Linked DNA regions of Oryzias latipes. The protein of the gene in region 1 purifies or fractionates together with the protein of each later gene. This does not show direct contact. Links are inferred from orthologs where the notes say so. Each region holds a gene or a part of one and is shown on either strand. Other genes may lie near its edges. The genes, in order: limk2 and ttc1.

Region 1 (3,817 bases):
TGGAATATTTGCAACACGTATAAAACGCTGCACAGATTTTAGTAACCTAATCTCTGGCAGGGTGCTTCGTCCAAGTTTTGCATCAGAGCTGCTGGTTGCAGAAGCTCAGTTTGCAGGAGCGTTCCACTTTGCTGCAAATACAGCGTTCCTCCCAACATTTTGTTCCAAAGTTTTCCTCATGTGACCAATCAGACTTGTTAGATTCAGATAGCATATTTAGATTTAATTTAGCTTGCATATGCCCCAAAGAACAAAGAAATTAAACTCCTGCCTGGACCTTGAGGGAGTTTGATGGTTTGCACCTTTTGACTTCAGCACTAACAGGATCACTTGTTCATGTTTACATAGACGGAGATAAGAAGAGCAGCAGCAATAAGTTTAAGTGTTGGAAGACGAATGCAGAGTAAACAAGCAGGTGATCGGTGGACTTTCCTCCAAAGAGGTTTGGAACAATACAGCCGCTTAGCAAAGTCTGTAAAGTAAATATTTAGTAAATCCACCACCCATTAAGTCTTATTCAAAGTGGAATAACAAGTTATCTTCCCAGCACTCAGAACAGAGGCAGCAGGTCTATGCCCTGCGTCTAGTTTAATAGAACAACATTTATATTTTCCTTTAGTTTTTGGATTTTTTTAAAATTTTTTTTATTGAATTTCAATTACTACCGCTGATACTGTTTGCTATTCTTAAATATCTTTTGATTTGTCAACTGTTTCTTGCATTGGATAAGTAGTCATCCTTTTTGATCTGAAGGGTTTTTGTCGTCTTTCCAGATGTTCTGTGTGCTCTGACCTCCTGACTAACTGGTACTATGAGAATGAGGGCAAACTGTACTGCCGAAAACATTACCTGGAGAAGTTTGGAGAGTTCTGCCATGGCTGCTCTCTGCTCATGACCGGACCTGCTATGGTAAGTCTGCTGTTTTTATTATTTTCCTGTCTTTTTTTATTTTTTGGAACCTTTTTTTTTCATGTTTTGTGACTTTTGCTACAAGAAGTGGAGGGACAGTGGAAAACTAGTGCTCTCTTGGGAGCTCTTCAACAGCGTTTGACTTTCCTTTAACCCATACTTGGTCTTTTTCTTTCTTATACTACATTTTTCAAAGTATCTAGAAAACTTGATAGTTTTTGAGTTTCTGACTGAGACATGATAGTCCACTGAAGGTCAGCTAGTGGAAGCACTCTTACCCCCTTTAATAAACATTAGTACAATGGCTTAAAGTGACCACACAGGCTTCTTAAATAGTTTTTTTTGTCTTAGGATGGATGAGTCCCGTCTTTGTTTTTCTCTTAACATCTGTGATTTCGCAAGACTTTAACGGACTACATTTCAACTTTTACTCAGACGTTTTGCCTCTATCCGCTTGTCTCCTCTGCTCATCCAGCAACATGCAAGTAATATGTCCTTCAAAATGGCCATTAAGCATGGTGATACACGTTGAAACAGGCGGCTAGCATGCATTAAAAAAAAAAAGCGGAGGGCTGCATTGGCCGCAGTTTAAAAATGAGTGATACTTCACTTGGGCTGCTGCTGAACTTAGCAGAAGGAGTTCTAGACTTCACTTGTGAATTGGTTTCCCCCTCGAGGCCCCAGAGGCCCCAGTCTGTTCCCTCTCTGCACAAGTTCTCCACGGTTCGCCTCCCCACATGCTGTAGGAAGGAGAACATGTGCTCCTTTTTGGAGCATTTAGACTCCTCTTTTTTTTATTTTTCCCAAAAATATGATCTGAATTGATGGCTCTTTTAACATTCGAGAATGCGTTTTTAAAACTGAGGAGTTACTTCACATAACAGAAAGTAAAAAGAGGAGCTTTGATCAAAGTAGAGAAGCTGATGTGGGTTAGATTTAGTGCAAATGCCACTCAGGCTCGGTTGTGGGTCTTTAAGTTAATCTCCTGCTGGTTTCAAACTTGTCCAACATGAAACCAGACTTGGGTTTTTTTGTTTTTTTTCTTTTTTTCTTTTTTGCTACCAACTAACACACAATGGAGCTTTTTATTTATTTATTTTTACTCGCATCTCGCTTCATCAGCCAGTGAGGCCAAATGTTTTTGGCAGGGCTGAAGTGGCACCACAGTCTGTCAGCCAGAAAGAAAATCATTGTGGTCCAATGGTGGAGGAGGGTCACGCAGAGCGGCTGCCTGCTTGTTAAGCATTCTTCCCCAGAACACTGCTGTTTTTGTCCCAGTTAATTATTTGTTAGTTTATTGATTCATTGGGATGTTTTGCATCTTAAAGTTGTTGTTTTTTGCTTTAGTTTTTTTTCTTCACCATTTTGATGGGTTTTTTTTTAAAGGAGCCTGGTTTGTTTGAGTTAAAGCAGCACGCCACTGTGCTTCTGTTTTTGGCTTTAAGGCTAGGAGTTGGGCTTTCACAATAATTTGGTTGTCATCATTTTTAAGCAGCTGAAAAGTGACTCCCAACACCGTCTGACTCAGAGCTGTGTCAGATGTTGGAAAAGTACTCCAAGAAAAAGGAAAGGGGGAAAAAAACAACTACATTCCTTAACATTGCAATTACAAACTCAGGAGCATCTTTTTGACAAAAAATGTCTTTTCTTGCATAAAACAAAAAGCATTACATTTAATAGAGATTTATTCAGAAACCAGCCTTTCTTCTGAACAAGTATGTAACTAACTCTTGGATCAAAGGGGCTGCATTATCTCATTTTGCATGAGAGGGATGAAACAAGACAGATGTAGCCGGTGTGTGACATTCATGTCGGAAGGCAAACCGGCCCGTCGTGTGGAGGCTGTGTCACTGAGACAGACTTGAAAGGCAGAGCAGCAGTGATTCAAGCGGCTCAGACCTGCAGAGCAGATGACGTCAGCAGATTCCAGACGGGCTGAGAGAAAAGCAGGTGTTGAGGGTTTCACGCTCGCAGTGGAGAGGAGGTCTTAAGGCGAACGCGCAGTCCTCTTTGGATTACTTTTTACTTGAAGCTGAGTGGATGATTTGCTGGTTTTTGTGTGGTTCCAGGTGGCTGAAGAACACAAGTACCACCCTGAATGTTTTGTTTGTCTAAGCTGCAAGGTGGTGATTGAGGATAGAGATACTTATGCTTTGGTCGAGCGGTCCAAACTCTACTGGTAAGTTACTTCAACCTTTTCAAGCCATTTTTTTAATATTAAAAGTAGATTCATTGATCATTTTTAGATATAGATAGTTTTACATCTTGTCTATGAAGTGCCTTATTTGCATTTATGGTAACTTAAAATGTTTTTTTGCCTTTAATCATATTTATTTAAAGTCTTCTGATGATTTTGGAATGATAGTAGAATGGTAAAAAGGCTAAAGCTGAGGTGCTTCGATGCATGTTTTTTGCAGTGGAAGGTGCTACAAACAGGAGGTCCTCAAGCCAATGTTGGAAAAACACTCTCAAGACTCCGTCATTCACTCCCTGCCCCACACAGTGACCCTCATCTCCATGCCCTCTGCAGCCAACGGCAAGAGGGGCTTCTCGGTGTCGGTGCTAAGGGATGTCGCTGGTTCTGCAAATGTTCAAGTGAAAGAGTGCGTTGCTTCTGATGCTTATTTTCTACTCGTATGAGAACAGAATGAGTAATGCATTACGTAAGGTTGATTACAGGTCTGTTAAATAGCAGGTGTGGAAGTGTGCCACTGCAGGAAAAAGCAGCAGTCGGTGGTTTAGTGTTGTTGTTTGAGTGTTGTTCTAGTTCTTAGAGGGGCTGTCCTTGTGTGCTCACATATATTCATGTTGGTGCTGGGTTGTTTCAGGGTCAGAGGCATGCTTATTAGTCCAGAAGTACGAAATGCCATCCATGTCGGGGACAGGATCCTGGAGATCAATGGTCTTC
Region 2 (3,917 bases), on another chromosome or scaffold:
ACATACAAAACGCACGGCCAGTGAACGCCGTTGAAGGTTAAACTTTGACCGATCCAGTAATCAGCTTTGGTAGTGTTGTTCCTCCTTCCCTCCCTCCTTGAACTGATGCTTTATTTAACCCCTCGTGACGATCATCAAAGATATCGCTTTCCTTTGCTGCTGCACTCGAGATAAGCGGCACGTTGTTGCGTTACCATGGCAACGCGCAGCACCACGTAACAAATAGTTCGCTTTTTGAGGAAAAAGTGATATAAACTGAAAAGATAACAAGAATAGAGTACTAAAAATTGATAGAATATTTACTTCTTTTGTAAATGGTGTAAGTGGGATAGTGGCTTAAAGTGTGCACTATCGGAATTAACGCAGTTCGGGCGTTGGACGGTTCAGGCTTCCACCACGCGTGGTAATTTCTGAGAATGCTGACTTCATACATAATGGTGTAATAGCCATTGACTGTAGATGAGAACTGGACTGAGTGACCCCTCACATTCCAAACAGGAAGTACCAGCTGGCTCCAAGAAGCCAAAATCCCATAGACTTTCATAGAGAAATAAACAGCTGTTACTCAGTCATTCTATTTGTCAGAATAACTATTCTTGCTATGATACCTTTTTTTTATTTAGTTTTTTACATTTGTTTCCTTCTTTTTTGGTAGTTTCAAGTTATCCAAGTTGTAAACTGACCAATCGGATGCCTTTATGCTGTCTTGCGTTGAACGTTCGAAACATCTGATTGACAGAATCTCACGAGTCCACTCTCAAGTAGGGTTGTAGACTTCTAATAAGATCACTTCTGATTGGTGAGAGTGGTTGCCACAGAAACGCTGATTCAGACTAAATCGAATCACTGCTTAATGCCATTGTCTGGTTCCAACATGGCGAAGTCCGTATCACAAAAAAGGATGACTGAATTGACTTAATTTGGTTGGAGCAGGAACTAAACCATTTTCTGTGGCTGACATGACTCTCACTCAGTCCAATTCTCTTATATAGTCAGTGGTAATGGCCAATGTTAGCTAAAGTGTGTTGGCAGTTCTGTAACAATGTTATATCAGTGGTACCAGATGCAGTCTTGCTGCTGCTCGGTTGGAGAACAGCACCGCCCTCTCTCGGCTGAAACACACGGGACATAACGCCAAAGCCTTGGAGTAGCTGTCCTCTGCCTCAGACCAGTCTGCATGAACACACAAAAAAAGGTTACACACATGAACACACAAAAAAAGGGTTACACACACATAAAGGGGTTATAAATAGGTTCCAGGAGGGTAACAAACAGGATTAAAGCAGTTTTTTTTTTTACTCACTTCTTGCTTTAAACTGGCCGTTGCCTGTTTCCTTCAGGGTCAAACTCTGCTGTCGTCGACTCTGAAACAACATGACAGATGTGAGGGAAAAAAATTTCCTGCAGAAAGCTCGACTCACGATTCCATGACTCAGCAGTAATGGATTCTAAAGAACTGCACTGTTGTTTACAGCGGCCGTTTGCTCCTCTCATAACCACCGTGAACTGCATCTTACCTCCTTCTCCTCTTCGGTCAGCGTCTTCTCCACCTCCCTCAAGTAGTCGTCATCAAACTCGGCTCCACTGCAGACCTCCTCTTTGAACTCAGCGTCTGAATCCTCTAGTTCGGCCTCTTCTTTTTCTTCTTCTGTCTCTTTGTCTTCGTTTCCTCTTTGGGTGTCTGTGTCCACGTTGAGGTCAGACTCCTCTGTAGGGTTTTGCTTCTTCCTCCTCTGCTCTTCACACTCCTCCTCCTCCTCTCCAATGGGATCAGGATGCTCAGGAGTTTCTGGACAGTCGTAGAAATCCTCCTCTTGGGTTGTGGTCTCCCCACCTCCCCGGCTGCTCATTCTGAGGCTCTAACAAACAGGTTAGACAGGTTAAGTAAGGACAGAAGCCTTAAGCATGACCTACATGGTCTGGTCTCTGCACGTTACTTTACTGCAGGTTCCACGCCAAGCCGCACGGAAGTCGGCGACAGAGCCAAGCAAGTGATGTCACTCAAACACCGCTCGGTTCTGCTGCTGGGAGTGGGTCAGGTTCGGTGCGCGCGCCCTGCCTGTCAAAGAACGACAAAGAATGCAAGCGGATGACTGTGGCGACCTAAATAAACTTCGGACACTTATCACGACACGACAACATGTGGGGACGCTGCAGGTCCGCACTAAAACAGAAAGAAAACGCAGTCTCACCTGAAAACAGCGCCTAGCCGGTTAGCTCTCTGACGTCACTTCCGGGTTTGTCTCCGCCAGGCTACGCCTCCTCCTAAACCACGTGACCAAGCTGTTTTCCGTTTATTGCACTTCCGGTTAGAAGCAAAACAAAACCAATCAATGTTTTTAAGAGAAATAATTCACCAAAAGTCGCAGTGACACAAACATAAATGTTAGTATAGGATTTATTAAGACCCAGCTGGTCACTTTAGCTAAACATTGGCTGTGCGGCAAAACAAAATACCTGCTCACTCATTATCATTTTAAATTATCAAAAAAAAAAATTACAACAAACATGGCATTTAGAAATATATTTTTTTTAAATTTTTGTCATGAGAGATCATGAGATCATCTACCTGAAACTCTTTGGTGGCAAGGCTCAGAGGGTGGACCATACACGGTGTGAAAACAATGATTGGTACCTCCTGATGGGTAAACTCATTGACTCATTGGTTTTTCATTCAGGAGAAAATTGAGCTCAACAAAATGATGGAAAAACAAGTTAACGATATTAAATAAAGGATCAAATAAAAATTTAGGTTATACAGAGAATTAGTGCGCTAGACTAAACCAATGTCTGTTAAGGAACAAACAGGGATTGGCTCAGAGGGATACAAACTTTTCCTCTTTATTCTCTCGAAGGCTAACTACGCTCCTTAGAACGTGCCCTGTGTGGATTCGTTGTCATTGTGTTCAAACCCTGCTGCAAATACAAGGTCTGATTCTAAATGGTTTATCAGAAGTTTAATGTTAAAAGTAGTGGTATGTCAGCAGCTGGATGCAGAAAAGCATTAGGGAGGGGTCAAAAGGTGAATCCTTGTTCACCAAAAAATACAAAATAAACGTGTTTATATATGAACTTTCAGTCTATTTTGCAGCAACTGTATTTGAGAACTCACCCAAGTGAATGTGATGTCACCCATAGTAATGGATTATGCCTTGCTCCGAACAAATTAAGTTCATTTTTTTGTCATGTCCAGGTGTTGGGAACCATTCATTTCATGTATGCATGGCACTTGATTCATACACATTTATGTCCCACTCTAATGCCAGTAGTAGTCAAAATCTAAAAACCTGTGTCGTTTTCTAGGTCATAGCTTCTGCAGCGCAGCAGGAATTCACTAGAAATTAAACTCAGAATCGTGGGCAAGACTGTTGGCGTGGAAGTGAGCCTCCACTGATACCCCATTATCCTTTCTAGCCTCTCACCCTCTAACCTAACATTACCGATGCAACGACAATGGGGAGCAATTTTGTAGCTATCCAGCCATACAGTTCTGATCCAGATTCCAGGTCAGACGAGGAAAACAAAGACGTACATGAATCTATTTGACTGCAACTGGATGAATCAGAATGGAGCAGAGCAGGGAGCTTGTGGCCTGACAATTGTAATTCCAATTTTAAAATAAACTTTTTTCGTCCGCTCCTGATTCACTACAATTTGAATAATAAAATACTCAGAAAGTCAATTTTAATCTTTATTTTCCTTACAAGTGTCCTCCATCATGGGAAAATGCCAAAATAATATGTTAAAAACACAGTTTTCATTGGAGTGGGTCTTTAAAACTTCCTTTGTCACCATGGCAACGTTTTTGTATTCCTGTTCAAAACCTGTGTTGAGATCCATAGAGTCCCGCTTCTGCTGTTTGCTCACTTTAAAAAGGATAGGTTGTCTGTATGTCCACAAAAAAATTATATCAGGAC

What was found.
Region 2: the proteins of limk2 (region 1) and ttc1 purify together in Homo sapiens (affinity purification with mass spectrometry; 3 studies listed by BioGRID and IntAct, counting the BioPlex papers as one, with this or other methods). This does not show direct contact. The link is inferred for Oryzias latipes from reciprocal best matches to the Homo sapiens genes LIMK2 and TTC1.

The regions. Positions count from the first base shown.
Region 1 is NC_019876.2:4,308,154-4,311,970, forward strand, and holds part of limk2 (LIM domain kinase 2), read left to right. Parts: intron 1-348; exon of another isoform or gene 349-442; intron 443-773; coding exon 774-909; intron 910-2,978; coding exon 2,979-3,088; intron 3,089-3,326; coding exon 3,327-3,512; intron 3,513-3,737; coding exon 3,738-3,817. UniProt on the Homo sapiens protein: Serine/threonine-protein kinase that plays an essential role in the regulation of actin filament dynamics. Acts downstream of several Rho family GTPase signal transduction pathways.
Region 2 is NC_019872.2:23,096,659-23,100,575, forward strand, and holds the start of ttc1 (tetratricopeptide repeat protein 1), read right to left. Parts: upstream 2,289-3,917; 5' UTR 2,193-2,288; intron 2,060-2,192; 5' UTR 1,938-2,059; exon of another isoform or gene 1,860-1,937; 5' UTR 1,851-1,859; coding exon 1,518-1,850; intron 1,365-1,517; coding exon 1,304-1,364; intron 1,174-1,303; coding exon 1,061-1,173; intron 1-1,060.